4 linked regions of the Struthio camelus genome follow. Each later gene encodes a partner of the first gene's protein in a complex. Links are inferred from orthologs where the notes say so. Each region holds a gene or a part of one and is shown in the gene's direction. Other genes may lie near its edges. The genes, in order: TAF6, TAF11, TAF13 and TAF3.

Region 1 (7,819 bases):
GTGGGTGGGACATGATGGGGGACAGAAGCAGCGACATGGGGGGGCAAGATGGGATGGGGGACATGGAGGACATGGCAGGGACATGGGGGACAGGATGGCATGGGGGACAAGGCAGGGACAGGGGGGACAGGGCAGGGACATGAGGGACAAGATGGGATGGGGGACAGGACAAGGGGACAAAGGGGGGCAGGACGCGATGGGGGACAGGGCAGGAACATGGGGGACAAGGGGGACAGGACATGATGGGGGACAGGGCAGGGACACAGGGGACAAGATGGGATGGGGGACAAGGCAGGGGGACAAGGGGGGATAGGATGAGGGACAGGGCAGGGACACGGGGGACAAGATGGGATGGGGGACAAGGCAGGGGGACAAGGCGGGACAGGATGAGGGACAGGGCAGGGACACGGGGGACAAGATGGGATGGGGGAGAAGGGGGACAGGGCAGGGGGACAAGGGGGAACAGGACATGAGGGGGGACACAGCAGGGACATGGCAGAGAGGACCACCGATGAGGGGACAGGGCAGGGGACCCCGGCGTGCCTGGCTGTCCCCACCGCCAGGGCGGACGAGGTGACGGTGCCCAGCTCTGGGGCTGTCCCTGCAGGGGACGTGCCCCCCCTCCCCCGACGTCCCTGTCCCCATGCCCACCTCGGCGCCCTCCGGGGACGCGGCCGGCCGAGCGCTGGGCCCCCATGCCCACCTCGGCACCCTCCGGGGACGCGGCCGGCCGAGCGCTGGGAGGACACCGGGAGCACTGGGAGGGTGCTGGGCAGGGGCTGCCACGGGGCCGGACCCGGACACCTGGGCTCCCTCCCCGCGATAACCCTTGTTATTACCAGAAGCTCAAGGCCACCGGGACGGACCCAGGCGTCCGGGCCCCCGCGTCACATGGGCCGTTATCGCCCGGCTCGTTAAGGCCCTCGTTAGGGCTCTGCCGGTGCCAGGCCCTGCCCTGCCCTCCCTGAGCCCCCCCCAAGGAGATACCAGCACCAGGGTCTGCTCAGAAGCTTTATTTTGTGGCTGGGGACGTCCCCAAGGGTCTCCTAGGCCTTGGGGACATCCCTAAGGGTCTCCCATCCCGTGGAGATGTCCCCAAGGGTCTCTTAGGCCTTGGGGACATCCCTGGGGCTCTTCCATCCTGTGGGGACATCCCCAAGAGTCTCCCATCCCAAGGAGATGGCCTCAAGGATCTCCTAGGCCTTGGGGACATCCCTAAGGGTCTCCCATCCCATGGAGATGTCCCCAAGGGCCTCTTAGGCCTTGGGGACATCCCTGGGTCTCTCCCATCCCATGGGGACATCCCCAAGGGTCTCCTAGGCCTTGGGGACACCTCTGACTCTGTCCCCTCTTTAAGAGATGTCTCTAGGTTTCTCCTTTTTCCCCAAGGACACCCCTGAGTCTCTCTTGTCCCTCCCTTGGGGACATCTTTGGGGGGGGGTCATGTCTCCCTTGAAACCTGATCTCTGATCCCCCATCTCTGATCTCTCTCCCATCTCTCAGGGACATGCCTGGGTCCCTCCATGACATCCCTGGGTCTCTCCCAACCCTTGGGGACATCCCTAGGTCCCTCCGCAATGTCCCCAGGTCTCTCCCAACCCTCAGGGACATCCTTGGGTCTGTTCCCCACCCTTTCCTTGGGGACATCTCCAGGAATCTTGTCTCCCCTGGTGGTGTCCCCAAGCCTCCCCCATCCCTCAGGGCTGTCCCCAGCCCTGTCCCTTCCCTAGGGGCCGTCCTCAGGTCCCTCGTCCCCCAACGTCCCCCCACCCCGGGCCGCGGGGGCATCCCCGGGTTCCCACTCCCTGAGGACGCGGAACGGGGGCCCGTGACCCGGCACGATGACGTCGGCCACGGCCAGCACCCGCCGACGGCTGGCCTCCTGCCGCGCCGGGTCCTCGCTCAGCTCCCGCCAGACGCCCTCGTCGCCCTCGCGCTCGAAGAGGTCGCCGGCCACCACCACGGTGCCCAGGGCCGTGCCGTGCACGGCCACGCTGACGTGGGCGCCCGTGTGGCCCGGCGTGGGCAGCACCTCGAGGTGCCCGGCATCCAGGGCGTAGGGTTGGCCCCGGGCCAAACCGTGGGGCAGGTAGAAGCCGGCGCCACGGCTCAGGTCGAAGCCCACCAGCAAAGTGGCGTCGGGGAAGAGGTTGACGTTACCGACGTGGTCGGAGTGGCCGTGGGTGCAGAGGACGTGGGTGACGTCGGCCGGCGACAGTCCCTGAGCCGCCAGCAAGGCCGGGAGCCGCTCGCGGTTCCACGGTCCCCCCGTGTCCACCAGGGCCGTCAGGGGTCCCCGCACTAGGGTGATGGAGCCGTCGGCCAGCAACGAACCGTCGGGACGCGCCTGGCTGTAGCCCTCCTGCAGCACCCGCACGGAGTAAGGGGTCCCCGGCACCTCGTGGGTCCCCAGCGATGCCGTCCGTACCCCTGGCAGCATGGCCGCCCCGGTTTGGGGTGGGGGGGAGGACGGACGGTGCGGTGTGGAGGTCGCGGAGGTCACCGAGTCAGGGCGCCCTGAAGAGAGAGTGGGGAAGGGTGCAGGACCTGCCAGCTTCCCCCCGCCACTGGGTGAGTGGTCTCTCCCAGTGCCTCCCCATTATCCCCAATGGTCTCCCCCAGTCCCTCCCCATTATCCCCAATGGTCTCCCCCAATCCCTCCCCATTATCCCCAATGGTCTCTCCCAATGCCATTATCCCCAATGGTCTCCCCCAGTCCCTCCCCACTATCCCCAATGGTCTCCCCCATTCTCCCCCCTACTATTCCCAATGGTCTCCCCCAATACTCCCATTATCCCCAGTGGTCTCCCCCCGTCCCTACCCGCTATCCCCAATGGTCTCTCCCCATATCCCCCCATTATCCCCCATGGTCTCTCCCAGGCCCCCCTCTCCCTTGTCCCCAGTGGTCTCCCCCATTTCTTCCGCTGTCCTCCCCTCCATGTTCCCCCCCCCCGTTACCCCTCCGTGGTCCCGTCCGCAAGGCGCGCCCCCTCACCCAAACAGCTCCGCGCGCCACTGCCCCGGAAGGGGCGGGGCTCCCGCCGGAAGGTGGCAGTGTGCGCCGCCATCTTTAGAGAGAGAAGTCCCGGGCGCCGCCATTTTGGGGAGGCGGACGGGAGGCGACGAGGGACAATAAGCACAAGAAGGTGTTTCCGCCCCCCAAGGCGTTTCCTGCCCCAAGGCTCCTACCCGCTCCCCGTCGTGGCGGCCGCGGGGCTCAGAGCTCCCCGGAGTGGTCGTGGGCCGGGGGGTGGGGCGCTTCGTCCTCACCACCCCCCCGGACCCCCTCTGCCGCCCCCTATCATCCCCAGAGACACCCCCCCCCCCAGCCACTGCCCAGGATCCCCTGGACCCCAAGAGCCCCCTCCAAGATCCTTTGGGACCTTCTCACCACCCTCCAGCACCTCCTGGGATGCCCCCTGCCACCCCTCAGGATCCCCTGGACCCCACCCCCCAGGACCCCAAGAGCCCCCTCCAAGATCCTTTGGGACCTTCTCACCACCCTCTAGCGCCTCCTGGGGTCCCCAGGGCTCCATCTCCATGTCCTGGGACTCCCTTAGGACCCCGGTGGCACCACAAGGATCCCCCCCCCCCATGGTCTCACCTGCTGCTTCAGCTGTGTCACCTCGGCTGAGGACTTGTCCCACAGCTCCACGGGGACCCCCAGGTCCACCTTCACCCCCTTGTTCATCAGGGACTTCAGGGTGCTACTTGCACGCTGCCGGAGGTCCCCGCGGTCCCATATGGCTCACAGCCCCATATGGTCCAGTCTTCTATAGCCCCAAGCCCTGTATGGACCCATCACCATAATCTTGAATGGCCCAGGCCTGCCCCAAGTCCCATATAGATCAGTTCATGTAGTCCTATATGAACTCCGCCCCCATAGCCCTATATGGGCTGGTCTCTATAGCCCCACAGACCCATGTGGAGCAGTCCCTATATCCCCATAGGGACCAATGCCCCCCCATAGCCCCTCCGGACCAGCTGCTAAAGCCTCAGTGGCTCAACCTTCATGGCCCCTATGGCCCGGGGTCCCCATAGCCCTGTATAGCCCATTCACTGTGGCTCTAAACAGTCTGTTCCTATAGTCTAATACAGACCTGTGTCCCCGTAGTCCTATATAGCTCAGTCTCTATAGCCCCCTATGGACTGGGGCTCTATAATGACATACAAACCACTCTCTATAGAGCTATATGGACCAGGATCCCCTATAGCCCTGTATGGCCTGGTCCCTACAGCCCCATACAGAATAGGGTCCCCATAGTCCCATATGGCCCTTTCCCTACAGCCCCATATGGACCAGGCACCCCGAACAGTCCTACCTAGCCCAGGGTCCCTGTGAGCCCTATACAGACTGGTGCCTATAGCCCCATATGGACCAGGGAACCCACAGCCCCATACAGCCCAGGACCCCATTGTCCCATATGCCCCTATCCCCCATACAGACCAGGGACCCTGCAGCCCCATATAGAATGGCCCCTATAACTCCATATGGCCCAGGGAACTCATAGTCCCAAATAGACTGGTCCCTATAGCCCCATATATGGCCCAGGGAACCCAAAGCCCTATGCAGCTTAGGGCCCCTATAGCCCCATACAGCCCAGGGACCCCGCAGCCCCATATAGACCGGTCTCTATAGCCCCACCCGGACCACGAAACCCACAGCCCTATACAGCCCAGGGCCCCTATAGCCCCATACGGCCCAGGCGCCCGGGTCGCTGGCGCCGCGCACGCGCACTGGGAGCGGGGCGGGCAGCACGCATGCGCCCCGCCCTGGAGGCGGTGCCGGCTCCACCGGGACGCGCAGGCGCGTTGCCCGACCCGCCCGCCGCCTCGCAGGTCCTGGCAGGGAGGTAGTGAGCGCGGAGCGAGGGGGAAAGGAAGGGGTGGGAAGGCTCCCGGATCCGCGGCCGGGGTCAGACTCGCCTTAAGCTCCGTTAAACGCCAGGCGGTTTGGGCTTCTTCAGCCTCGCCGCCGACGTAAAAGCGGGCGAAAAGCCCTTCGAGGATCCCGCCCCGCAGCCCCTTCCCCAACACAGCGTGCAGCGGCCAGGACCTGGCGGTGAACGGCGGCAAGAGGCGGAGCCAAGATGGCGGCGGCGGCGGCCGGCACCGGGAAGGCGGCGTGAGAGGTGGGGGAGGGGGCCGGCTCCGGGAAGGGGGCGGGGTCGCGCTGCCCTCCCCCTCCCGGTATATTTTTTGGGGCGGGGGGGGGCTTGTGTGCGCATGCGTGTGTTCCCCCCCCCCCCGGGGTCCCCTTTGCATCAGGGTCCCCCGTCTGCCCCGGTGCCCGCGTATTTGGGGTCCCCCCCGGGCGGGATGCCCGTGGCGGGGGGGTTCCGCCGGCTCTGCTGCCCCGGTCTCTGGCTCTGGGGCTGCGCCCTGGGGTCCCCCCCCCCCCGTGTTTGGGGGTCTCCCCAGCCCAGGGGTTCCCCCTGTGTTTGGGGTCCCCCCCCCGCCTTAGGGTTCCCCCCGTGTTTGGGGTCCCCCTGCCCTTCACCCTGCGGTTCCCCCCGTGTTTGAGGGTGTTTAGGGGTCCCCCTGCACCCTGGGGTTCCCACTGTGTTTTGGATCCCCCCCGCCCTGGGGTTCCCCCCATATTTGAGGGTCCCCCCCACCCTGAGATTCCCCTTGTATTTTGGGTCCCCCCCCACCGTGGGGTTCCCCCCCCCGTATTTGGGGGTGTTTGGGGGTCCCCCCCCTGCCCTGGGGTTCCCCCCGTGGTTGGGGTCCCCCCCCCCCGTGGCATCCCTGTGTCGGGGACCCTCCCACTTGCTGCTGTGTCCTAACGTCTCCATATTGGGCTCTCGTTGCCCCCCAAAACGACCCCGTGCTCTCGATTTCTATACGATGCTCCTATATCCAAATCCCCCCTGTTTAAGTCCCCCCACCCACGATCTCTTTACATCCTATATATTTAGGATGCCCCCGCAGCACCTTTATATTGGGGTGCCGTTGTCTCCCCCCACGATGTCCCTATTTCGGGGTCTCCCGCGTTTCCGCTTCGCCCTAAATGTTTCCTTCCCGGGGTCCGGTGTAGGGACCCCCCTTTTTGGGGTCCCTACACCACGATCTCCGGTGCAGCTTGTAGGACCCCCTCCTTGCCCTGCTGACCCTGCCGCCCCCCTCTGCAGCCCCCCACGACCACCACCAGCACCCCCCAGAGGAGGAGGAGGAGGAGGAGGATGGCGGAGGAGAAGAAGCTCAAGCTGAGCCACACGCTGCTGCCGGCCGAGTCCATGAAGGTGATGGCCGAGGCCATGGGCATCGGGCAGGTGCCCGAGGAGACCTGCCAGCTCCTGGCCGACGAAGCCAGCTACCGCCTCAAGGAGATCGCCCAGGTAGGGGGGGACACGGTGGGGGGGGACACAGAGGGGACAGGGACAAGGACAGAGCCTGGGGTGGGGAGGTCTCTCAGCCCCAGGCTTCGGGGAAGGGAGGGAAGGTGACAGCACGTGTCTCACCCACTCCGTCCCAGCGTCACTCAGCCCCTTCCCTGGTGGTGTCCCCTGTCCTGGGGGGGCCGTGGGAGGCTCCTCGCTTTGCTGACCCCCCTCCCCGGCCCCCCAGGATGCCCTCAAGTTCATGCACATGGGGAAGAGGCGTAAGCTGACGACGGGGGACGTCGACTTCGCCCTCAAGCTCAAGAACGTGGAGGTACCGCAGGGACCTGTATCTGGGGGGGGGGCCTCTGGGACTTGGCAGAGGTCTGGGATGCTCTGGGGGGGCTCTGGGAACCACAGGGGGGGCTCTGGGGATGCTCTGGGGGGATCAGGGATGCTCCTGGTGGGGCTCTGGGACGTGGCAGGGGTCTGGGATGCTCTGGGGGGGCTCTGGGATCCACACGGAGAGTCTGGGGATGCTCTGGGGGGATCAGGGATGTTCTTGGTGGGGTTCTGAGATGTGACAGGGGTCTGGGATTCTCTGAGGGGGCTCTGAGATCCACAGGGGGGGTTCTGGGGATGCTTGCGGGGGTCGTAGATGCTCCTGGTGGGGCTCTGGGATATGACAGGGGTCTGGGATGCTCTGGGGGGGCTCTGAGATCCACACGGGGACTTTTGGGATGCTTGGGGGGGGGGGTCAGGGATGCCCTGGGGGAGCTGCCAGCCCTCCTCTAAGCCCGCCGTTGCCCCCGCAGCCGCTCTACGGCTTCCACGCGCAGGAGTTCATCCCCTTCCGCTACGCCAGCGGCGGCGGCCGCGAGCTCTACTTCTACGAGGAGAAGGAGGTCGACCTGAGCGACATCATCAACACGCCGCTGCCCCGCGTGCCCCTAGACGTCTGCCTCAAGGGTGGGCCTAGGGGAGGTGGCCTGGAGGCATCGTAAGGGGGTGACGGCGGGTTTCGGGGTGGAGAAGAGCTGTTCCTTGCTGTTTGTCACCGCTTTTTGTCTCTCTCTTTTTTTTTCTCAGCTCACTGGCTCAGCATCGAGGGGGTGCAACCCGCCATCCCCGAAAACCCTCCTCCAGGTGAGTGAGGGACCCAGGTGTCCCCAGAGCAGCCCCTCCTTCTCCTTGGACTCCCCATGGGAGATCTGTCCTCCTCATGGGGAAGATCTGCCACTAGCTCCTCTCGATCTGTTCTCCAAAAAAGAAAATTTGCCCCCGATCCCTGGTAGTTTTGCCTTCCCTGGGATAGATCTGCCCCCCGTCGAGGCGGATCTGCCCCCCTACCAGCACAAATCTGCCCCAGTCAGGGGGTAGATCTGCCCCCAGTCCTCCCATGCTCTGTCCCCAGCCCCCAAGGAGCAGCAGAAAGCCGAGGCCACGGAGCCGCTCAAATCCACCAAGCCGGGGCAGGAAGACGACGGGGCCCTGAA
Region 2 (7,443 bases), on another chromosome or scaffold:
ACACAGCACCTTTTCCCTGGTTCGCCAGTCCCCAGCTACCCGCCGTTACCAATGGCGTACGTAACCCTGTAGCGGTTTAAGCCCTGGGGACACATCACCGGGCAGCTCCCCACGCCGGGAGCACGCGCTCCAGACAGCCGCGTCTCCCGGCTCTCCCAGCCTCCCGCCGCCGCCGCCAGCCCCCATGGATCCCGTAACACCCAGGCGGCACCAACGCCGCAGGGTCTCCCCCCGGCCCAGCCCGTGCTTCCCGTACCCCCGTCACGGCCCCCTCCCTAACGCCTCATCCCACCCCCGGCCCCACTGCCGCCGTCTCCTCGCCCAGCTCACGCTGGCTCAGGCTCCAGACCTCATCCCCCAGCCCCACGGGCACCCCCAAACCCGCAACCCCTGCAGCCTCCCCCCAGCCCCTGCCAACAGGCCCCACAGCCCCACGCTGCCTGCCTCTCCCACCTCTGCCCCCCAGCCCCATACGCCTCACCTCCCGCCCTACGGTCCTAAAACCCCCCAGCCGCACACACCCCCTCTCCTGCCCCACAGACCCCCACCCTCCTGCCCCACAGCCACCTCCGCCCCACAAACCCCAATCCCTACCGCCTACCCCAGGCCCCCGGACTCCACAACCCTATTTGCCCTCAACGCCGTGACATCCCACCTCCTGCCCCACAGCCCAACATACCCCCTTCCCCACAGCCCTGCAGCTCCACGCACCCCGCGCCTCCCGGCTTCCCAGCCCCACACATCTGCTGCCTCCCACCCCCCAGCCCCATGCACCCCACACCTCGCAGCCCTCCAGCCCCACACATCCACTGCCTCCCACACCCCACGGCTCCCAGCCCCACACCTCTGCTGCCTCCCACCCCATGGCCCCCCAGCCCCACGCATCCGCTGCCTCCCGTCCAATGGCCCCGCAGCCCCACGCATCCGCTGCCTCCCACCCCCCAGCCCCACACATCCCATGCCTCCCAGCCCCATGAATCCACTGCCTCCCGCCCCACGACCTCCCAGCCCCACACACCCCGCTCCTCCTGGCCCCCCAGCCCCATGCATCCACTGCCTCCCACCCCACGGCCCCCCAGCCCCACGCGCCCCTCACCTCCCAGCCCCACTCATCTACTGCCTCCCACCCCGCAGCCCCCCAGCCCCACGCACCCCACACCTCCCAGCCCCACGCACCCCACACCTCCCAGCCCCACGCACCCCACACCTCCCGGCTCCCCAGCCCCACGCATCTGCTGCCTCCCACCCCACAGCCCCCCAGCCCCACACACCCCACACCTCCCAGCCCCACGCATCCGCTGCCCCCCACCCCACGCACCCTACACCTCCTGGCTCCCCAGCCCCACGCATCTGCTGCCTCCCACCCTGCACCTCCCACCCCCCAGCCCCATGCATCTGCTGCCTCCCACCCAATAGCCCCCCAGCCCCACGCACCCTGCACCTCCCAGCCCCACGCATCCACTGCCCCCCACCCCACGGCCCCCCAGCCCCACGCACCCTGCACCTCCCAGCCCCACGCATCCACTGCCCCCCACCCCACGCCCCCCCAGCCCCACGCATCCACTGCCCCCCACCCCACGGCCCCCCAGCCCCACGCATCCACTGCCCCCCGCCCCACGGCCCCCCAGCCCCACGGCCCCCCAGCCCCACGGCCCCCCAGCCCCACGGCCCCCCAGCCCCACGGCCCCCCAGCCCCACGGCCCCCCAGCCCCACGGCCCCCCAGCCCCACGGCCCCCCAGCCCCACGCCCGCCCCAGGGCCTACAGCGTCTGGGCTCCCCGCCCCCCGCGGGCCGCGCTCACCTGAGGAGACTGGACAGCGGGTGCCCCACACCGCCGCTCCCGCCGCCACCGCCGCCGCCGCCTCCCCCGGAGCCGCCGCCGGAGCCGCCGCCGGAGCCGAAACCGGAGCTGAGCCGCTTGCCCGAGAGCAGCTTCTCCACGGCGGGCAGGTTCCCGGTGCGGGCGGCCTCCAGCAGCTCCTGCTCCTTCCCCATGGCCCGGCCCCGGCCGCCCGCCGCCGCCGCCGCGCCCCGCCCCCTGCGCGTCCTTCCGGGGCGGGGCCTGACGGAGGGCGGGGCCTGGCATGGCGGGGCCTCTCGGCCCGCAGCCACGCCCACGGCGGGGGGAGGCGTGGCCTGAAGAAGCTCCGCCCTACAGGGGCGGGACGCCCCCCCGGCGGGATGGCAGGGCACCGCCCCCTCGCCCCCCTCCGGGGCAGGGGGGCCCTGAAACCGCTGTGCGTAAGGTCCCGGGGGCCCTGAAACTCCCACGCGTGCGGGCTAGGGGGGCGGGTCCGAAACTCCCACGCGTGCGGGCTGGGGGGCCCGACCCGCCCCACCCCGGTGCATGAGGGCCGGATGTGCCTGCGGTGTTAGTGGCTGTGCAACGCCCAAAAGGCGATTTACACCTGGCCTCGTTAGTTCCATAAATCCCTTAAATGACTTCCAACTATTTTTTTTAAGGGTATTTTAAATTAATTTTGCTTTGGCTCATTTTATTCGTTAAAGCTAAGGAGTCTGCTACAACCGCGAAAGGGAGGGACGTGAATAACGCAAAGGTAGGGTTACAGCACGCGCTACGCAAAGAAAGGGACCGCCTTTGGTCTAGCCCCAGCGCTTTCTGCATTTCCAGGGTTCCCGTCGCTAGAGCAGTTGGGCATAATATGTACAAGAATTAATTCCTAGAACAGTTTAAATAAGGCACGTCTCTGCCAGGGCTCTCGTTCTGCGCGTCTATTGGCGAAAGAGACACGAAAAAGGAATATTCGCAGGCTATTTCTCAGCCGTTGCCCATAGCAAAGGCTTCTGGGGAGGAACGGTGCTGGTGCTCTGCTCTGGCTGACGATCGCTCTTCAAGGGGAAGCAAAACAGCCAGAAACAGTTGTCCGCGATGGCAGCCTACGAGCTGGCACGCAAAATGATTCAAATGCGGCCAGGTGCTCCATTTGAACAGCACGTTAACAGCATCAGTCCTCTCAGAGAGCCAGCCTCGGTCGCTGCCCCTCCAAGCGGAACTGAAGTGGATTTGCCACAGTTTTGCTCAGGCAGTTTTCAGGTCTCTGGCTGGGGGATATCCCTTACCCAGCGCAGCCTGCGCTCGAGAGACGGGAGATGAACGTCGTTCACCTTGACCTCACCTTGAGGGAAATACATAGGAGGACACTTACAGGAGATCACAGCCTTGGTGCCCGCCAGAAACATCCCCTGCGTCGAGGTGCCACGCGCTCGTGCGGGACTCCACGTGCTCCAGCGCGCGTGGCAGCGGCCATACCCTGCCTCGCCAGAGCCCGCAGGGGAAGCTGATGCGTGAGAGGGCCGCTGGAAATTACACATATTTAGCTCCTTTCACCAGAGGCGCTCAGAGTATTTTGCAAGCTGGAATTAATCCTGTAGCCCTGTGAAGCTGGTCAACGTTATCACTACTTTTCCATACAACAAACAAAGAAACAAAGAAGCAGCGTCAGAATTCCCAGGCTTGAGGAGGGGCTGGGGGGGCCGGGAACGCGGGAGTCCCGGCTTCCCCGCGTCTCGCCCCAACCTTGCTGCTCCCTGCTGTGTCATGTGGTACCCTGTTAGACGGAAACAATGCAGAAAATCATTGACTGGCTTAGCCTTTCCAAATTGATTCATGCTTCCAAGAAACAAAATCAGCAGGAGATCCTTGCCAATGCCTCAGAGAGAGCTGTTTTGTTGGTGACTTTGATCTGGGTTTGCAGAGCCACAGACTAAAGCGTGCACCCAGACCCTGGGCTGTTTCCACAGCTCCAGACCCCAGACTCTGTCCCTACCGTAACACTTTTCCTTCTTAATATTTAACTTTTTTCCTATTTCCGTGCAAGAACGCCACGCTGAGAACGCGCTTCTGCAACGACTCCAGCAACTCATCAGTGTAACAACCGTCCCCTTGCTCCAAGAGCAGGAAGGGACACGGCTGCCCCTGTCAGCACGTCCTGCCCCCCGGCCGGAGCCAAGCTCCAGGCCCTGCAGTTCGGCTCCCTACTGGCCTGGCCTCTGCCCCCCGCTGCGTCACCCCCCGCGGCGCCCCAATACGCCGGGGCTGACCCCTGCCTCTCCCACCCCAGGAACCCGGTTCCCCCCAGCCCTTCCCGCCCTGGTACCCCAGTACTGCCCCAGCCCTTCCCACCCCCCTCTCCCAGTACCCCCCAGCCCAGCCCATCCCGCCCCAGTACCCCCCAGTACCCCAAGGCCCTCCCTCCCACAACCCCCACACCGCCCCCGGCCCTCCCCACCCGCTCTCCCAGTACCTCCCAGTCCCCCCCGCCCCGGCCCCATCACTCACCCCCGGGCAGGCCTCGTTGCCATGGCGACAGGCCCCGCCCCGCCGCCGGCAAGGCGCGGCCCTTCGCGGCAACCGTAGCGGTGGCGTCATCAGGAGGCGTCGCCGCCGCCGCCGCCGCCGCCGCCGCCGCCGCCGCCGCCGTCGGGGAGCGATGGCGGAGCCCGACTCGCCGGGCCGTGAGGAGCTTGGAGCCTCCGCCCCGGAGCCGCCGCCGGCCGCTGCCTCCTCGTCTCCCCCGGGCCCCGGAGCGGCGGCTGCAGAGGAGCCGGCAGCCGCGGAGGCAGCGGCTGAGGGCGAGGCGGGAGAGGCCGGCGGGGGCGGCGAGTCCGCGGTAGAGGCGCAGGCGGGGGAGGTGAGGCCGGGCCGGAGCGAGGAGGGGGCGCGGGGGGGTCGGGCCGGACCGGGTCGGGCCGGGTCGTGGCGCCGCCGAGCCGAGCAGTGCGCTCTCGCCCAGGTGAGGAGCGCCGAGGGGGAGGCGGTGGACGGGGAGGACCCGAGCCTGCAGCCGTCCGCGGCCAAGAAGGTGAAGCTGGAGCTGAAGGAGAGGAAGGAGAAGAAGCACAAAGTGGACGAGGACGAGATCCAGAAGATGCAGTAAGTGGCGGTGCGCCGGGCCGGGCTGCTCCCTGGAGGAGGCTGGTGCTCCCTAGGGCACAAGTTGCTGTATGGAGTTTGTCTCTAGACACGCTGACTGCGTAGTGAACCTCTAGCTGTTTTATGAGACTGTTGCTGATGATTTCCCTAGTTCTTTCCCAGGTCTCTCCCCTCCTGAATGGGCCTAGCCATTTTGCATATAAATTTTAGTACAGCTGGAACAGTCTTTCCCTTCCTGGCCCTCTTCTGTACTGTGAGAGGTTTGGGGTGGTAGGAAGGTTCTGCGAGACTTTCAGTAACCCAGTAGCCAGAGATGTGCTAAACTTTTTTCTTTTTTCTTTTTTCTTTTTTTTTCCCCTGTAAACAATCAATTTTTTCCACCCCAGAATACTAGTCTCTTCCTTTTCTGAAGAACAGTTGAATCGTTATGAGATGTATCGTCGGTCTGCTTTCCCCAAAGCTGCTATTAAACGGGTATGGTTTTAATAACGCTTTGCTATAGGGGAAAAAATATGAGCAAAGTGGGCTGGGTTAAAAGGCTGAGCCTTACCAAGCCTGGCTATAGAACTGCAGATTTAAGACTTGCATAGGGTAAGAACTGGATCCGCTGTATGCGCAGGCTGTGGATGCACCTTCTCTTCCAGCTGCTTGTCTCAGCCTTCGTGGCCGAGACCGTTGTCCTCAGATCAGCTTATCTGACCCTGTTCGAGCTTACTGAATTTGCATGGCTTATGCAGTTTAAATGGGGGTCTCTGCCAACCCATTGTAATTGAAAGTGGTTAGGGTGCGTGGGGCAACAGATAGAAGTAATGGCTAGTACTTTCGCTGTTGCTGCGTACTTCATTCAACTGACTGTCTCTTCCCTGCTTGTCAAGCTAATCCAGTCAATTACTGGCACCTCTGTCTCTCAGAACGTGGTTATTGCCATGTCCGGCATTTCCAAGGTCTTCGTTGGGGAGGTGGTGGAAGAAGGTAAGTGGAATATGTTATCGTGGGGCAAAAAGGTTAAAAATACAATGGTAAATTCATTGCTTAAAACCAAGCAGAAGGATATGAAACGAGACTGGGAATTCTATTGGTTCCTCAAAGGAAAATAACGTCAACATTCTTGCCACACAAATCGGCGTGTGAGCAGGCTGCAGTAGGGCAGTCAAGATCTTTGCTAATGCTGCTGTGGACAACAAATGCAGCCCAGGGAAATAAGTTATTTAGGCCTCTCATCTGTAAGACTCAGGCTTTAAACAATGAGCCGAGATCTCTTTGGGATATCCTGTAGAAGGCTGACCCAGCCAAGTACCTGGGTTTTTTTTTTTTCCCTTATTCACGCTCCAGGAGGAGACAGTACTGTTTGTTCATGCCATCTGCTCAGTACAGACTTGTCATGCAAAACATGTGGCCTATACATGCAGGGATTACCTTATCCAGGATGATGCAGTTTGGCTGTTTCCCTGCTGCAGCTCTGTGTGTTACCTGAGGCAGTTTGGATAAGCAGCTTCACTGCTGTACTTAATTGCTTCATGTCCTTGGCAGGAGATGTAAACAATGCTTATTCTAGCTGATGGAGAAGGAATTGGCCTGTAAGTCCATTGTAAATTGTACCTTCCTATTGCTCCTACACATAATGACCCCAAAACCTAATCCCAATCTAGAGGGGTTTTTAAAGTGGAAGGCTTAAGATCATAAGGCATTATTGCCAAGTTCTTGCATGACTTAAACTAGCGTATTCCATAGCTGAAGCTGTTTGAGAAGTGGTTTATTCTTGTCCAGTGCTGATGCCTCTAGGACTAACTTTTCTTTTAGTCAAAGAGAAACACATAAGGCAGTTTCACTCTCATGCATTAATAAAATGAGCTTTAAACTCTGAACAAGAGAAAAGTTACCTTTTGCCTTTGAAATTTAAAGCTCAAAACAGTAGGAGGCTTTTCAGGTATCATCTGTTAAGAGACTGGCTCAGCTCAGCTGTCCTGCTTATGTGAACTCTTGTTTTTTGTTTAGCACTGGATGTATGTGAGAAGTGGGGAGAGCTGCCACCTCTACAGCCCAAACACATGCGAGAGGCAGTCAGGAGGCTCAAGTCACGGGGACAGATCCCCAATTCCAAATATAAGAAAATCATCTTCCACTGAAGTATCTCAACAGCATCATGACAAGACAGGAGTTAAAGCAAGCTTCCAGTTGGGTACTGCGTAACCTCAAGAGTCGTAGCAGAACTACGAGGCTTAAGCGCTCCAAGCTTCTGTTGTTGCCTGCCCGTATCGTTCTCCGAGGACCTACAGGAAAACAAACCTTGATGCTGAAGTTGCACTCAGTCCAGCTTGATTTTTATGTGGCTTGTTTTCAGTTTACAAAATGTAGCCGTTAATACTCTTGGCATGGCTGATGGGGTAGGAGGACTGAGGAAAAAGCCCTGCAGATGAAGCTCAGAGTACCTCTGTATGGGGTAATGCAGTTACCCCATTGAGCATATTTTGGTATTAGAGCCTCCCCTTCAAGGAGCCTGTAAACGTTTTATTGTGCGTAGACTTTCGTTTAGGCAACTGTGGTGAGG
Region 3 (7,358 bases), on another chromosome or scaffold:
ATAAGATCCAGAACTTTCAGCCCGCTTTGTAAGGTGAATCATTCTTACAAATGTTCCAGGCTAGCAGCAAAATCATCTTTTTCTCTCAATCCTTCCTGTTTGAACCCACGCAGCTGGTGCTAACAAAAATCGACCGAGCTTCCAGGGGACTGTTGTTAAAGAACGTACTGGAGATCCAGGAGTTTGTAAAGGAGAAAACTCAGGGATGCTTTCCTCAGCTATTCTTGGTCAGGTAAAGCTTTTCTCCGTTGCTGCCGTTTCCTTCCTCGTGATGATCAGCAATAGGACATACTACCTGAAATGGGTCCATCTGTCCCAGAGGCGATACTTTTCTGTGCCCCAAGGATGGAGGGTGGGCTGCTTGTGGTAACTGCCCTTTCCTTCTTCCACATCCTCTGCAAGTGAGTGGAGTTCAGTTTTCAAGGCTGCTTCTTCCTTTGGCCTTTGGGCTGAGAGGGGCAGCCGTACCTATGCTGTGTGACAGCGGGCTTTGTCAGGCACCTGCTTACGTGCTTGTGGTCGTTTCGTACAGTAGCGTAGTTTGGAGTTATGTGACAGTAGCAACCCTTAAGTGTTTGCTTACGTAGCTGAAGTTTTTGCTTTATCAAAGTTGTACTGCACTATGGGGGATGTAATGTAATGTACCCAGTGGCTGAGTTTGGTTATATTAGTCCAAGATGCAGCAGTGATCAGGCACTGAATGTACACACCTTTGTTTCCATAGTTCTCTGGAGTTTTCAGGTGTTCACTTGCTAAGGTGTTTCATAGCCCATGTTACTGGAAACCTGCCTGTTGCAGAGACCAACTAAAAAGACTGGTTCCTGATCTGCTTGGCACATCCAGAACAAAAGGTACCAAATCTGGCTTTTTTTTTTTTTTTTAATAACCTGAAATACTGGAACTTATATTTTGGATAAATTTGTCTAAGGTTTTGGTTAAATTAATATTTGTAAGGATAAGCTTTTTGTTTAATAAACTCATTCAGGAAATTTGCGCTGCAATGGAATGCACTTTATTATCAAATGGTTTTATAAAACCTATGTGATTGTGCCAAGAAGGGAAAAACAAAGAGAACCTACTCTACAGAGGAGCTAGGTTTTAATACAGCATTTCCTCTCTCTCTCTCCAGCTAACTGTTCAGAAAGCTACTACTGCATGCCTAAATTCTGCTGTATTTAGGATATTAGAGACAGTCTAGTAATCTGATTAATAAAAAGGCATTTAGTTTAGAAAAGAAAAGTTATAGCTCTTAATATTAAACAAGCCACGCTTGCCAACTTGAATTGAATGACATTGAGAAGTTCACCAGTCTCAACTTATTTCACTACCTGCTGTAAGACTGTCTGGAGTAGAAATGGCCAGCACTTAATTTGTGAAGGTGTTTTTAGGAGAGATCTGGCTGGGAAGCTGCATTGTGTAACTCCTCTGCCTCATGCATTCAACAGGTGCAGTGTGATAGCGTGCCTTACTTGTATACACCAAGTTGTCCCTGTTCTAGGTGGATGAACGAAAGGACACATCTTTAATGGGATCTACCTTTCGATTACTGTTGGCTTGGAACAGAGTGAGATAAATGAATGACACCTAGGGGAGCTGTCTCCTCCTGCACTTTATCATCGGTCAGTGCTGCATTTACCTTCCAGCATGAAGTTCTGCAGCTGTACTCTGAACTGCCAGAGATGAGACATGTTGTTTGTTTTATGCATCTGTTCTACACTGGGAGCTGAAGCACAATAGTGAGGCCCCGTATTCTTTGCAAGCACTGTAACAGCTGGCAAAACTTTGTCCCACAACAGCTGTATCCAGCTAACAGCACCCAGCACCCATCCTGGGGAGACCGAAGCTGGGTAGTTACAATATCAGAAAGAGTCAGAAAAGGGGACTGTCTTAATAGCAGTAATCATACACGAAAATTTAGATCAAAGCTATTAAGTGCTGATGTCAAACTCTGACACTGTCTTGTTGAGTATTAGGATTGCCAAAGGTATGTATACGGTTGTCAGCGTTACTTACATCAAGTGTTTAAACCTCATGAAAGAGTAATTCTTCCATAAACCACTCGAGAGTTAGAAGGTGGTATTTCTAGTGTTTTGCTTTATTATGGAATTTCTTTTAACTCACAGATTAGACGTGAGATAGGGCTTATTTCCCCATATGTGTAGGAAGCGGCAGTGTGTGATGAATGCAATAGAAAGAGGTGGATCTCTGGTTTGCACACCTAAGCAGAGATCACACCTGTAATTCTCAATATTTCACCTCCAATCCTAAAGTGCTCCAGAGCAAACCAGCCCATGTGATGCTTCCACGGGGGGAAGTGCAGCAGTATAAGGATAGATGGAATAGGTGCAGGTCAACGTTTCAGGCATAATCTTTTGTTTAAAAAAAATAAAACCAGCATCTTTCAAAAGCATCAATCTAGTCTGTAATTCTAAAGGCCTCAGCTCTAATTGAAGAGCCTGTGCTGCAAACTGCCAGCCAGTATCCTTTCTCAAACTGTAACTGCTTTGTTAATGAGATTAGATTGCAGGAAGAGTGCATCTGAACTGGGAGGATAGCAGTACGTTTAAAAAAAAAAATCTTTTAACAAGAAGTGGCTATCCTATGTGATAGATACTAAGCAACAATGTGTGTGCTGTGTTAAACAGAAGTTCATGACCTCAAGGTTGTTCATGGCGTCTCGAACAGGCTCAGCAGCTCCTTCACTGTGGGGCCTTGGACTGTTGGGCCCACTTCTACAGTCATACAGGAGGTTGTACGATGAGGTAGTGCAGGATTTCAACTCAGTCTTTCAAGAGGCCCCCTTCCTACCACAAACACAGTAATTAAAAACAACAACAACAACAATAAAACTACCTAAAGCTTCTGTGGGAGAAGTTCATCCATCTTCCAAACTTCTTTCAATGGTTTTAGAGCAGTTCTGTTCTCTACTACCTTTGTATTCATCTTCAAGAAATGGGATTTCATTAAAATCAGTTCAGCAACTTATCTCTGGCCCCTTTGTCTCTCCTTTCTCTGACATCGTTAGCCTAGTTTGGGCTAACAGCATAAGACCTATCTTATTAAAAAAGAAAAAAAGCATTGTTTGTTTAGATGTCTACAGAAGTCAAGGATTACTACAAAGACAGTGAAAGAGGACATAGGGTTCACGTTCTGCTTGTTCTCTGGCTGAGGGGAGGTCATGCTGAGCTGTGCTTGGCACCTGGACAAGGAAGGACTGCCACAGCCAGGACTTCTAGATGCCGCTGCTGCGTTCTTCACGAAACGCTCAATTACAGCAGGCCTTGAGCGGTGCACACAGGAGTTGCCAGAACACGCCACGCTGATTTGAGGCCTGCTTCTGATGAGAGAGTCAACTCCATCCTCTGGGTTAAATTTAACTTAAAAGTTGTGGCTGTGGGTAACTGCCACGCTTGTGGGAATTAGCTTCGGTTGCAGAGCTGTTTTGTGATACTCGGCCAATTGTGCTTCGATCTATGAAGTCTTGAGAGTTGTGAAAAGGAGAGACTTAACTGAAAAGACTGAACATCCATTCCTGTGCTTCCCTCGTTCTAGGGCTCGTGACATGCATGTTTTCCTTTTGGGTTTGTATCCTCGCTGTCAAGAGCGGTGAGACCATCTGATTGCTTCTCTTGAAAGCCGCCAGCAGTTTCACTCTCCAGCTCTTTGCTTTTAGCATACTTCAGCTCCTCATCATATACTACTTTTGCTCCAGCTCTAGCTCCTTGGTGAGCTTGCTGATAGAGCTTGCCCAGAGTTAATTTTTCTCATGGTTTATCTTATGTTTGCAGCTGTGTAATACTGATTACGCTCAGCGTGTTGCATTCGGGTAGCTTCCTCCTTCAGAGCGCCAACTTCCAGTCCTGCATAGACATCAACGGAAAGAGGGGTACACGTCTTAACTCCCGCGCTGAGACACATCTGCTCACTACGGTCAGCCTGCTACTCCTGCCGCTTTAGCTCCTCGGTCTTACTTTATAAAGGGCAATGCAAGTTATGCCTACGAGCCCCCGGAGTCCTTGCCCCTCCGCTGACCGTTGCGGACACTGGCAGGAGTCCGGGGAGCGTTCAGAGCGCAGCAGCTCCCCGTGCAGACGTGCACGCGGGAACCTGGCGGGAGCCCGGCAAGTCGCGGCTGCGACGCTGCAGGGGGCCCGGCTGCGCTGCTCTGCCCGCCCGGCCCTTCAGAGGCCCCCCACGGGGGACGCCCCGAAGCCGGAGAAAGCCGGCGGCTTGCGGACACGGTAATCGCCAGCCGGAGGACCTACTGGGGCCGCTGCCTGACACCGCCAAGCGTCTGCCCGCGCCGTCAGGCGTACGAGCAGCGAGGCGCCGCCGCCTTTCAGTGCCCCCTTGCGGCGCGTGACCCTCCCCGGGCTCCGTTCGGGGCGGCGCCCGCGCCGTACGCCAAGATGGCGGCCCCCAGGCGCGGCCCGGGCGGCGGAAGCTCGGCCGGCCCGAGCGGAAGCGGCGCGCGGCAGCCATGGCCGACGAGGAGGAGGACGCGCCGGTGAGCCGCGGGCGCCGGGGCCGCGGGCGGGCCAGCGGCGGCGGCGTGCCCGGCTTTTGTGCGGGGCCTTCGGCCGCCTCTGCTCAGTGCGGGCGCCGCCCGGGGCTCCCGCAGAGCCGGTGACATGGCTGCTGCGGCCCGGTGCTGCCGGGCTGGCCTGCGCCCCCGCCGGCGGCGCTGCGGCCCGGCCCCGCTCTGACTGCGCCCTCTCCCCCCCCCCCCCCCCCCAATGTGCCTTTCCGCAGTTTGAGGAAGACGCCGAGGAGGCGGGCGGAGGCCTGGACGGGGGGCAAGGCAGGAGGAAGAGGCTCTTCTCCAAAGAACGTGAGTGCAAGCCAGAGCCGCTAGCCTGCGCCCGGCGGCGGCTGGCACCGGTCGCTCGCTGCAGCGCCAGCCGTGGCTTTTACGAACGGCATACCTCTTGCAGAGATGTCGGCAAGTCTTAGGGAGCTGTAGAGTTTTGAAACTCGTTGTCTTCATTAACAAAACAACGGCTTTCATTCCCTACCCGTGCTCAAAGCGGAGAAAGCCGTCATATACGACAGAACGTTGCTGCTAATGCGTCATCTGAGCCTATCAACGGCAAAAGCCATACAGCGATGCAATGCCCCGTAGTTGATAGCCTAAATGCATTTTAAAGAGCCTGTCATCAGATGCATTTGTCTGCGTATGTGCTACGCTCTTGCTGGGTTCTGTCTGTTTTATTTCCCATAAGCTCCCCAAAGAATTGTCCTGGCCAGCAGTCAGGAATGCCGTCCTGCTGCATGAACTTGTAGACTAGTAAGCCTAAAGCACTAGAGGCATGCTGCTGGCTGTGCTGAATGACCAGAAAAAAAATAAGAGGAGGATCATGCTGAGTATTTCTTTCTGCAGTAAGATGCATGATGTATGGATTTGGGGATGACCAGAACCCTTACACAGAATCAGTGGATATTCTCGAGGATCTGGTAATAGAGTTCATCACAGAAATGGTAAGTCAAATTTAGATGTCACGATCAAAAAAACAGCTCTTGCTAGTATTTCAGATGCACCGATTATTACACCACGATTGGACAGAGGATAGGATGTTCCTAGCAGAACATATCTCAACGAAAAGGGATGAATTTGTTTTCTAAAGGTGTTAAATCAGATTCGAAGATCCTCATTAAGATTTTAATTTTCTGTAGGCTAATACTTCTAACCCAACTGGATTAGCCCAGGCCAACAACTCTGATGCTAGTAGGAAGAATCCCACGTTAGCCTTTGCGCTTCGAAGATTCAGTGGAAACTAATGCATTTTGCTCCATGTGGATTTGGAACAGGGCCTTCATCTGTAAGGGGCAGTTAGACTGATATTTTACAGGCACAGCTGACTTTGTAGCCCACTGTGGCATCACTGCGTATACAGCTGACAGAAGATGAGGGTCAACTTTGAAAGTTGATCTACTTTTGTGTTTGCTCAGTTTTTTTACAAGGATGGGAAAGCAATTCTGTCCCACAAAACGAATACAAGGTTCTGCTGCCTTAAGCAATCACTGATCCTGCTGTTTGGATGCTGTTTGAGGGTTTTTTGTTTTTTGTTTTTTTACTCAAGTCTTTCCTGCTGTTTGAAAATCCTGTTTCTCTTGAAAGGTTGGCCTTGCCTTCACTTATGAAAATGCCTAAACTGTCCTCAGATTTGGTGTTGTCTTTTGCATGCAAATTCGCCTTGATGCTGTTCTTTCTCAAGCGCTCTGCAGGTTTGGTCTCCCCTATGTGTAGCATGGCTTTAGTTTTGATGTCATTAAGATCCTGTATGTATAACGGCACATACCAGGTGTAGGTGTCAAGGAGCTGGGAATAGTAGACTGACAAAAAGTTCACAGGAGTGCACTCGGGAGTGTGTCTGTGAGTAGGATGATGGTGCCCAGATCCTGAAATTGCTTACCTTTGGCTTATAAAGTGACAAGGAATAAAATGGAATTGAGAGTTGAAAAAAATAAGTCAGGGTCAAAGGCACACTGGTAACTTTTGCTTCTTCCTCTGACAGACGCACAAGGCCATGTCAATTGGGCGGCAGGGTCGTGTACAGGTTGAGGACATTGTCTTTCTAATCCGCAAGGACCCCCGGAAGTTTGCCAGAGTTAAGGACCTCCTGACTATGAATGAAGAACTGAAGCGGGCCAGAAAGGCCTTTGATGAGGCAAACTATGGATCTTGATCTTCTGTGCACGCGGCACAGCTTGGGCACCTTCTTCCCAAAAGCAAGGAATTAGTATGTATTTGTTGGAGGTTTTTTTTCCAGGATGGAGATCAGTGCTGGGATGTCTGCCTTGGCTCTCGGCCTTTACAAAGAAGTATCGAAGCCTTCTAATTTTATCTGACTGTATGTGGTATACTTAGGTATTTTTATACCATTTTATAAAACTCAAGAAGTGTGAAAGTGAGCTCTAAAGGTTCTTGTAATGGTGACAAGTGTGTTTGAAGTAGGACTGTGTTCTATCAGGTATCTAGAGGGTTAATGAGAACTGATTCTTTCCAACTGTTTCAGTCATTATTAGATGCTCCCTTCGCAGGAGACCTAGAAAATGGATCTCGGAGAACTGGACAAACTGTGCCTTCGAGCACAAACCATTAGAATTTCTGTTCTCTTCCCTGTCCCTGCTCCCTATATGCTCTTTGAGTAAAACATCTTAAGCTCATGCCAGGCCTCGTAACTAAAATTCACTGACGAATTCACACAAGTTGCATAATGTGGATTTCTTAGCACTAACGATTAAGTATTCTTAGTCTGGTAGGAAGCTCATTTTTTCCTTCTGCCTCAGTGGACACAGCTCTCTTGTTCTCATTTCTCCCTAGGAAATGGGGATCACCTATCCCAAATTTACTTGCC
Region 4 (7,796 bases), on another chromosome or scaffold:
CAATGAAATGTCTACACCTAGGAGACTCTTCCTGAAAAAAAATCTGTAGGAAAATAAGCAGATTCAAATTTTAAAACTTTGTGGGAAAATAGCTTTGAAAGAGGCCTTGGGGTGGCAGGGAAGATGAATGAATTGATGAAGTATTCCCATTGGAGGAGACAAAGTGCAAAAAGATACGTTGAAGGTTTCTAATACGCTTCAATGTTTCTTACAGGTAAAGAAGAGCTCTTCTGAGCATATGGTTTAACCTGCCTGTGTCTATGTTAATAAGACTACTCCGTCATTTTGTGAAGAAGTGGTAAAGTCCTAGAAATATCTGTAAATTCTTACAATAAACCGCCTACACGAAACAAGTGCTCTTGGTTGTCTAAGTATCTGGATTTGACTTGGTTACTCTTTGAAACAGCTGATTTTTAAGAGGCTGTAACCTATGTGATATACAAAGCATGTAGGTGGGCATTTTCTTTTGCAGGTGGGAAAGAGTGCATAGCTCAAGAATATTAACACCTTGTATTTTCAAGGTGTTTGTTATATATATATTATGTGCTGAAGAGGGAAATGGCTAAATAACTGTTTTGAATCAGGCAGTTAGAACACTGGTCTTTCTGCCTCTGATCACAGTACGATTGTTTCTAGATGTTCATACTCTAAAATTAACTAACATGATTATGGGAATCATTAGTCTTTATTTAGACTGATTACTATCTATCTTGTTTGTCAGTTTATATACTGGCATGCTGTAAAATAGAGTAACCCTTGCCACAGTTCTCAGACCCCACTATACATGACAGAAATGCATGAAAGGAAAAACCGGACATGCTGAAGTAGAAGAAATGGTCAGTAGTAGTGTAGTATAACCATAAGAGCAAAAATATGCCATTCCCAGTTTGGCAGACAAAACAAGAGCCTTGAAGGACTCAGTTGTGTACAGGAGAGGAAGTGGGCAGGGGGTTTGTAGAAGAGAGATGAAGAAAGTGTAAATTGTGTTGAATATCAAAGCAACCTTCCGAGTATGACCTGAGGGACAAGCGTGAACAACCACTTGCTTGCTCGAGCTGCTGTTGGGTTGAGATGGACATAAGTCAGCTAGTCTAGAAAGCATATAATCAAGTGCTGAACTTGAGCTAATATGCTTTCTCAAAGGCACCGTGTTAACTTCATAAAGTGATGTACTGTTGCTATCCTACAGCTTTCAATGTGCTGTCTTTATGTGAGGTTGAATCCTTGGAGAGGATTTGTTACATACTTTGAAGAATCTTTTAATGACTACTTTTAAGAACTATTAACTTTTAAGGAACTAAGGTTCTAATGCTAGGGTTAGTCACACAACCGAAGTTGGTGACTGCTTGGAATGGGTGAATTTGGGAAGCTCTAAAATGTGGAAACACAAACTAGCCACTGGATACAGAGGTGGCCGTTATCCTAATGGAGGAGTTCCTTGATTTATGCAATTCTCAGCTTAAGGCCTTGATCCTGTAATTCTTTAGGAATAATCTATCTAAGCTGTGGGGAAAAAACTGCTTTGACACTGTGAACCTTTGCGGTAATCCGGATGATTTACATTCTACTTTTCCCTGGTAAATGTTTCCGTTCTCTGTTATATGAAATTACATTCCTGACTGGAAAGCCATCACCTCTCTAAGTGATTTCCAGGGAGTGGAGGGGAATGCAGTTCCTACCATGTGTGTGACCTGATGGCATATGCACAACATCATCAAGGTGTGTATCTGTGTAAGGCCAAGGCTTTCCAGCAGCATTGTATTGCCCCAGATTTTTGTCCAGATGGCGTTTCTGTGGCTACCCAGCCTGCTGTCACTACCTTGCATGCCCTCCTGTTTCTGTGCAAGAACCCATGCCTGCCTTCTGCCCAGTCTGCTCGCAGTGAAGAATGCAGTGTGCTACTGATACAGTGAATCCGATAGGTGACTATCAGTTTCTTGCATCCCAGCTGTTCCCTTTAAGTAAGGGAGGAAGGGATGACATGCTTGTGTAAAGCTGAGCATTACGGGGGCTGTTCTGGTTTGAAACAAGGTGGAGACTGCCGCTTGGTGCACAGCGGCTGACGCAGCAGTTCTGCCCAGTCAGCTGGGTCCATCGGGCACCCTGAAGAAGTAAAACAGCCCCTTTGCCTTTCCCAGCCCATCTGATTGTTCCACTCCTCCTCCCCCATACGTCACATCCTTTAATTCCCGTCAGCTACGCAAGGAAATACTTTCCATAACCCTCAAACCTGTCTTCCCTTCTCCCTCTTTCAAGACTCAGCCTGGGTGCTTAGTCTGAGCGAGGTCAAGGTTCCCAGCTGGGGCCCTGAGACATACTCACAGCCTGCCGTCTCCTTTTGTGAGTTCCCCTTGCCTAGGAGGCTGGGTTTCTGCTCGGGCCGCTCTGCAGCAAGACTTGGCCTTGTCCCTGGATACCACGCTTTGCCTTGTGCTTTAGCCGAGCATCTTCCCGGAATCCTAACTGCTCTCTGAATCCATTCCTTGCTGTGAAATACTTAATAGGTAAAGGTTAATATGTGTGTAGAGCAAGGATTAAGCTGTTTCTCCTTTTTATTGGAGAAAGTGGGCATGTGATTTTAGAGGAATTCAGATACTTTGGTGCTAAGATCTCTGGATTTTGGAATCACAGTGAAAAGATGAAACAGCAGCCCAATGTCAAAATTTCTATTCTGGCATGGTGCATTAAATACTTTCTTAGGTACCTAAGGAGTAGTATGTCCACGCAGGGAAGAACTTTCAAATCCCTGCAGTGAATGCTTGGTTCCCCTGGAGGCTTTTATAGCATTCTTACTTGCTCTCAACTTTCTGTCACTCAGACGTGATCATCTTAGCATTCATATACACATTTTTTTTTGGTTACTTCTCTGGACTGAATGATGTTTCCAGTGTCATGTTCCATTGCAGAGGTTTTTATGGATTTCATTACAGAACAATTGCTGCTAGGAGCCGTGCAACTCGGTAATGGTTTGGGGAATTGAACTTGGAAGCCCAGGTCCTTCAAACTAAACAGCAGGAACCATGGAGATAGGCTCTTTTTCTCAGCTTGTTACAGTACAAGCAATCTTTTGTCACCGTTGAGCTCATCCAGTTAGTGTGATATGCTATATGGAGCGGTCTGAACTGCTCAAGTGGGGCAGCTCATGAATCAGGAACCACCGTGCCTAATAAATCCTGTGCTTTTCCTTTCATTGCAGTCAGCCCATGTTCCAGGAAGAGCCCAGGAAACACAAGTCATGTTACTGCGAATATTTGGTAGCATCAGTCCATGGTAATTCCCCTAAGAATACTTCTGAAGTTTACAAAAGGAGGTCTGTGTATTTGCAGCTTTTCTGAACACTCAGAAAATACGTTTCTAAGATGGCAAACGTGCTGCCTGTTCAGGAACTCCCCAAAGCGGCTTGACAGACTGAAGAGAGCAAGCAAAGATCATTCACCTTTCAGTGAACTAATTAGTGAACTAATTAACAGAACTAGTATTTACAGTTGTCTTTCATACTGTCATTAGTTACACACAATTATTGAGTTACAATTTATTATTAAGTGCTATTAATTACACACAACAGTTTTAACAGTTCTGTTGCCCTTTATACTACCTCCTGCACCCCCATGGGGGTGCAATACTATCACCCTTTTCCATACCCATTTAAACTTCTTCATTTAGACCGTTATTAGACGGATTTTTATACCTTAACTGTCTTTTTTTCATTTCTGGACCCTCCTTTTTGCCAGTATTGTACCATCCCTTCCCTGCCCAGCCTCTTCCTGAAGAAACAACCTGCTTGTAAATCCTTCATCCCTGTGGGTCCCAGCTTTGCTCTATCCACACCCAAATTTGGTGTTTATTTCTAATAGAGTTACCCAGGCAACCTTGGCCTTACACATGGCTTCCGTGGCTGCCTACGTACAGGTGGCCTTGGCAAGGTTTTACTCCCCAAAAGATCCCAGAAATTCCTCTTCTGAGTCCTGGGATCCTTCTCGGTACATATTGTTCATTTTGCACACATTTCTGAGACAAGTTCTGGTTCCTCCACCTAGTTCCAAATAAATTCAAGCACTTGCTTATCTTAAGGGCAACAACCCCCACGCCAGAGCGAGGTTACGTGCTTTTTCCCCCCCGCACACTTTTTGCGGGGGCTCACACAGCATCCTGCTCTCCCTTGGCTGCTTCATTACACATCACCGGCCTTAACGTGGCTCTTTTGGATCATCTCCCGCTTCCCCCCACCCCAGTCTTGTCAAGCCTCCCTACAGGCCTTCGGGGCGCTCAAGTCCGTTTCGGTTTAAAGCATCTCGACGAGGCTCCCTTCCTGCGCCCCGGTGGTCGGGGGGTTCTCCCCCATTCCTTTAAAATCACCTATAAAAAAAGCAGAAGGGAAGGTGTCATTCCAGACGGTCAGCTTCGGCGGCAAGGCCCCTGCAGCAAGCACCCGCTGCCGGCGGGTCCCCTCAGCCCGAGGCGGCGTGAGGCGACAAACGTCTTTTACAACCGACAAGCGGCGCGCAGCTTTAGGGCCCGCCGCGCTGGCTGACACGGCCGCGACCGCCCTCCTCCTCCTCCGCGCAGCCCAAACCCATCCGAAAAGGCTTCGCCTCGGCTGGGCGGACCAGAATTTCCCGCTTTCTACGCGATTTTTGAGGTGGTTTTGGGACGACGCGCTCCGGCCACACGGCGCTGAGGCCCCAACCGCCTCCTCCCCCCGCTCTCACCACCTCCTCAGAGCAAGGAGGGGAGGGAGGATGGCCGAGCGGTCGAGGGCGCTCGATGCGCTCGGCGCTGCAGCCGCGCGGCCTGGCGGCGGGGAGGCGCGACGCCAAGATGGCGGCGGCGGCGGCTGTGGCGGCGGCGGCGGCGGGTTGTGCGTGAGCTTCGCCTCGGCCCTGGCGGCGCCCAGCCGGCCGGCATGTGCGAGACCTACTCGCGTTGGTTGCTGCGGGTATCGGTGGCGCAGATTTGCCAGGCCTTGGGTTGGGATTCGGTGCAGGTCTCGGCCTGCGACCTCCTCACCGACGTGCTGCAGCGGTACCTGCAGGGGCTGGGCCGGGGCTGCCACCGCTACTGCGAGCTCTGTGAGTGCCGGGGCGGCGGGCTGGGCTGGGCTGAGGGGGCCGGGGGTCGGGGGCGGAGAGGAGAGGGCACGGAGAAGGAGCGTGGGGGGCTGTGGGGCAGTGGCGGGGGCCGAGAGGAGCGGGAAGGGAGCCGTGGGTCCGAGGTGGCGCCCCCACGGGAGCGGTGGGCCGGGGGTGTGGGGTGCGGTGAAGTCACGGGGCAGCGGGTCTGGGGTGCAGGCGTGAGAGGGCAGTGAGTGTCCGCTGTGGGGCAAGGGGGAAACAGCGGGGGTGAGGCACTAGGAGTGGGGTGCTGTATGTGCACATAGGGGGAAGCGGGGCAGTTGGGAGCGGGTCTGGGGTGGGGATGGGGGGGGAGATGGGGCTGCTGCCCCACTTCTTTGGCTGTAGTGTGCAGGGTGTGTGTTGGGGGGGTGTACAGGAGGAGAGGACGGGCCTGTTGGTCCCGTTGCTGGGGCTGTAGTGTGCTGGGGTGGGTGTGCGGAGAGGGGACACAGGGGACCGGTCCCGGGTGGGAGGCTGCTGTCCCAGGCCATCTCAGCGTCAGCAGGTGCGCACTGGGGGAAGTCGGGGGGCTGCAGTCCCCACGGCCACTTTGGGGCCTGGGGCTGCCATTTACGCCAGGTTTGGGCTGTGTGAAGGGCCAGGGGGTTGGGGGGTGTTAACCCCGTGGTGGGGCCGCAGTGAGCGCGCTGGCGGGGAGCGTAAGCAGTGAAGGGTTGGAGCTGCCGTGCGCGGCGTGGAGCCCATATTAAAGGACCACGGGGCCCCATATATTAAGCTGTGGGGGAGGGGTGTGCAGTGGGAAGTGATGGTGTGTATGGGGGGAGTGGGGGAGTGCGGTGTGTGAGGTCGGGGGTGTGCTTGTGTGTCTTGGTGGGGGATGGAGCTGTAATGCCCACACCGTGGGATGTGCACAGGGCGAGTGATGGGGCTGAAGTGTCTGAGGTATGGGGGTTTGTAGGTGGGAAAGAAAACGGACAGAGCTGGAGATCTTTTTAGTGCGCGTGGTATGAGGTACGTTGGAGACGTGCGCCTGGGGGTTGGACAAAGCAAATTTCTGTGCCCCTTCTGAATCTGAGAGGGGGAGGGGGTAGGGGAAACGGAGATGTGGGTATCAGTGCTGGTGGAGTGGTGGATGAGGTGGTGCTGTGGCGGCTGTTGAGCAGGATTTGGACTGTTGTAACACTCCATAAATACTGCAGGGGAGATGGAGTGCGGTGCATAGTGGAGAGGCTGGGGGAGCGAGGGTGCCCTGTAGGAGTGGAGATAGGCTGTGTGTGCACATGGGAACCAGGGCTGCTTGCGCCTCTTGAGATCTTAAACGGGACCAGGGAAGCAGGGAGTCCTGGAGCCTAGGATCAGGAGTGCTGTTGCCAACTGCGTCAGTGTGGAAGATATTTCAAGGAGCCCTAACAGGATTGGGATCGGGAGTACACTCCTCTTGCAAAGCAGGCAGTGTATGTGGAGGGTTGGAGGGATTTGGGGAACCAACTGCTGCCTGCATAAAGAGGAAAGGAGGAAAGCCTCAGGAGGGAGGAGGGTCGCTTGACCACCACCTGCTCAAGGAGAGCAGGGAATTTGGGGAGACTTGGGCACGGAGATTGGACTGCCGTGCTGCTCTTGTCTGCTTCTGAAGTGCTTGGGGCCTGGGGACGACTCTCTGGGGTCTGGAACCGTGTGATGAGGCCGTGTTAGAGACTGCATCTGCTTGGCCTGCAGCGTGCTCTGAGTTTGGGTTGCTGAAGGGAATGTGGAGAGACTGAGGGGGGCAGGTTTCTTGTTACCACTTCCTTCAGCATGCTGCGGGGCTGTGGGCTGTCACTGCTCTGCGTGCATGTATATATTTATAGAGAGAGAAGTCCGGGATAGCCCCGAAACAGAGGTCAGAGTTGCTATGCTGTTGGATGTCAGCATGGAAGACATTTAGAAGAGTAGAGGGTTGGGGGTTAGGGTGGATGATGTGGTGCTTGCCTGAAGAGCTGGATATGGAGAGGGTGACTTCCTAGGAAAGGATTTGTGGCTATGACAAGCCACCACCAGTGCTTGTGGGAGAAGTAACAGGGATGGCAGCTCTGAACAACTGAGAACTTTGCTACCACTTCCACCCCAGTTGTGTGGATGTGGGCTCTGTGCTAATCAGGGCTCATGTGGATGAGGGGGATACTGAGGACACACTGCAGCTCCAGGTGGTAGCTGCAGCTTCGAGATCAGAGGAGCTTTGAAGGGTGGAGGTGTTGGCTTCCTCGGCAGGAGTGAATTTGGAGGGTGTGTGGGACGAAGGACCGTGTGCCAGGAGGGAACGCTCAGCGTGATAAGCATAGTCAAGAGAGGAGCAGCCTTGGCCTGGCAGTGCTGCTTGTTGTCGTGTCTGTTCTCTGAGGCAGAAGTTTTCATTGCTGCAGTGAGCCCCAGTAAAGCATGGTGATGATCTGAACATACCTGATACCTGGCTCTGCCTCAGCTTGTTGAATCCAGGAATAATCAAGATCTAGTCTGAGTCTGTCACTGCCTGTTTATCTGAGCCCAAGCTTGGCTGCCTCTGCCACGGCTAGGAGGAAAAGATGCATAGACGGTGGAAATACAGTTTTTTTTTTTTTCCTCTCAGTGCTTAAGGAATTGGAAGTGCTTACTGAAAGCTGGTAGAAATAAAATATCCCTCTCTTGCTTTGAGGGTGCTTAGAGATAGTGGAGAAGGGAAGTTTTGCCCCCCCCCGGTGAATGGAA

The links.
Region 2: TAF6 (region 1) and TAF11 share a complex: the UniProt entries of both Homo sapiens proteins name them as parts of the TFIID basal transcription factor complex. The link is inferred for Struthio camelus from reciprocal best matches to the Homo sapiens genes TAF6 and TAF11.
Region 3: TAF6 (region 1) and TAF13 share a complex: the UniProt entries of both Homo sapiens proteins name them as parts of the TFIID basal transcription factor complex. The link is inferred for Struthio camelus from reciprocal best matches to the Homo sapiens genes TAF6 and TAF13.
Region 4: TAF6 (region 1) and TAF3 share a complex: the UniProt entries of both Homo sapiens proteins name them as parts of the TFIID basal transcription factor complex. The link is inferred for Struthio camelus from reciprocal best matches to the Homo sapiens genes TAF6 and TAF3.

The regions. Positions count from the first base shown.
Region 1 is NC_090978.1:546,389-554,207, reverse strand, and holds the start of TAF6 (transcription initiation factor TFIID subunit 6), read left to right. Parts: upstream 1-4,808; 5' UTR 4,809-5,132; intron 5,133-6,134; 5' UTR 6,135-6,185; coding exon 6,186-6,341; intron 6,342-6,570; coding exon 6,571-6,657; intron 6,658-7,138; coding exon 7,139-7,292; intron 7,293-7,412; coding exon 7,413-7,469; intron 7,470-7,737; coding exon 7,738-7,819. Other genes in the region: MBLAC1 (metallo-beta-lactamase domain-containing protein 1), read right to left, coding at 2,161-2,517, 2,996-3,068, 3,605-3,691. UniProt on the Homo sapiens protein: The TFIID basal transcription factor complex plays a major role in the initiation of RNA polymerase II (Pol II)-dependent transcription.
Region 2 is NC_090965.1:5,430,710-5,438,152, forward strand, and holds the start of TAF11 (transcription initiation factor TFIID subunit 11), read left to right. Parts: upstream 1-4,429; 5' UTR 4,430-4,452; coding exon 4,453-4,653; intron 4,654-4,755; coding exon 4,756-4,895; intron 4,896-5,281; coding exon 5,282-5,369; intron 5,370-5,770; coding exon 5,771-5,867; intron 5,868-6,890; coding exon 6,891-7,021; 3' UTR 7,022-7,443. Other genes in the region: ANKS1A (ankyrin repeat and SAM domain-containing protein 1A), read right to left, coding at 1,803-1,996. UniProt on the Homo sapiens protein: The TFIID basal transcription factor complex plays a major role in the initiation of RNA polymerase II (Pol II)-dependent transcription.
Region 3 is NC_090942.1:96,845,899-96,853,256, reverse strand, and holds the start of TAF13 (transcription initiation factor TFIID subunit 13), read left to right. Parts: upstream 1-4,351; 5' UTR 4,352-4,480; coding exon 4,481-4,507; intron 4,508-4,752; coding exon 4,753-4,831; intron 4,832-5,380; coding exon 5,381-5,478; intron 5,479-6,515; coding exon 6,516-6,686; 3' UTR 6,687-7,358. Other genes in the region: GTPBP8 (GTP-binding protein 8), read left to right, coding at 60-232, 725-809. UniProt on the Homo sapiens protein: The TFIID basal transcription factor complex plays a major role in the initiation of RNA polymerase II (Pol II)-dependent transcription.
Region 4 is NC_090942.1:5,343,378-5,351,173, forward strand, and holds the start of TAF3 (transcription initiation factor TFIID subunit 3), read left to right. Parts: upstream 1-4,786; 5' UTR 4,787-4,903; coding exon 4,904-5,069; intron 5,070-7,796. UniProt on the Homo sapiens protein: The TFIID basal transcription factor complex plays a major role in the initiation of RNA polymerase II (Pol II)-dependent transcription.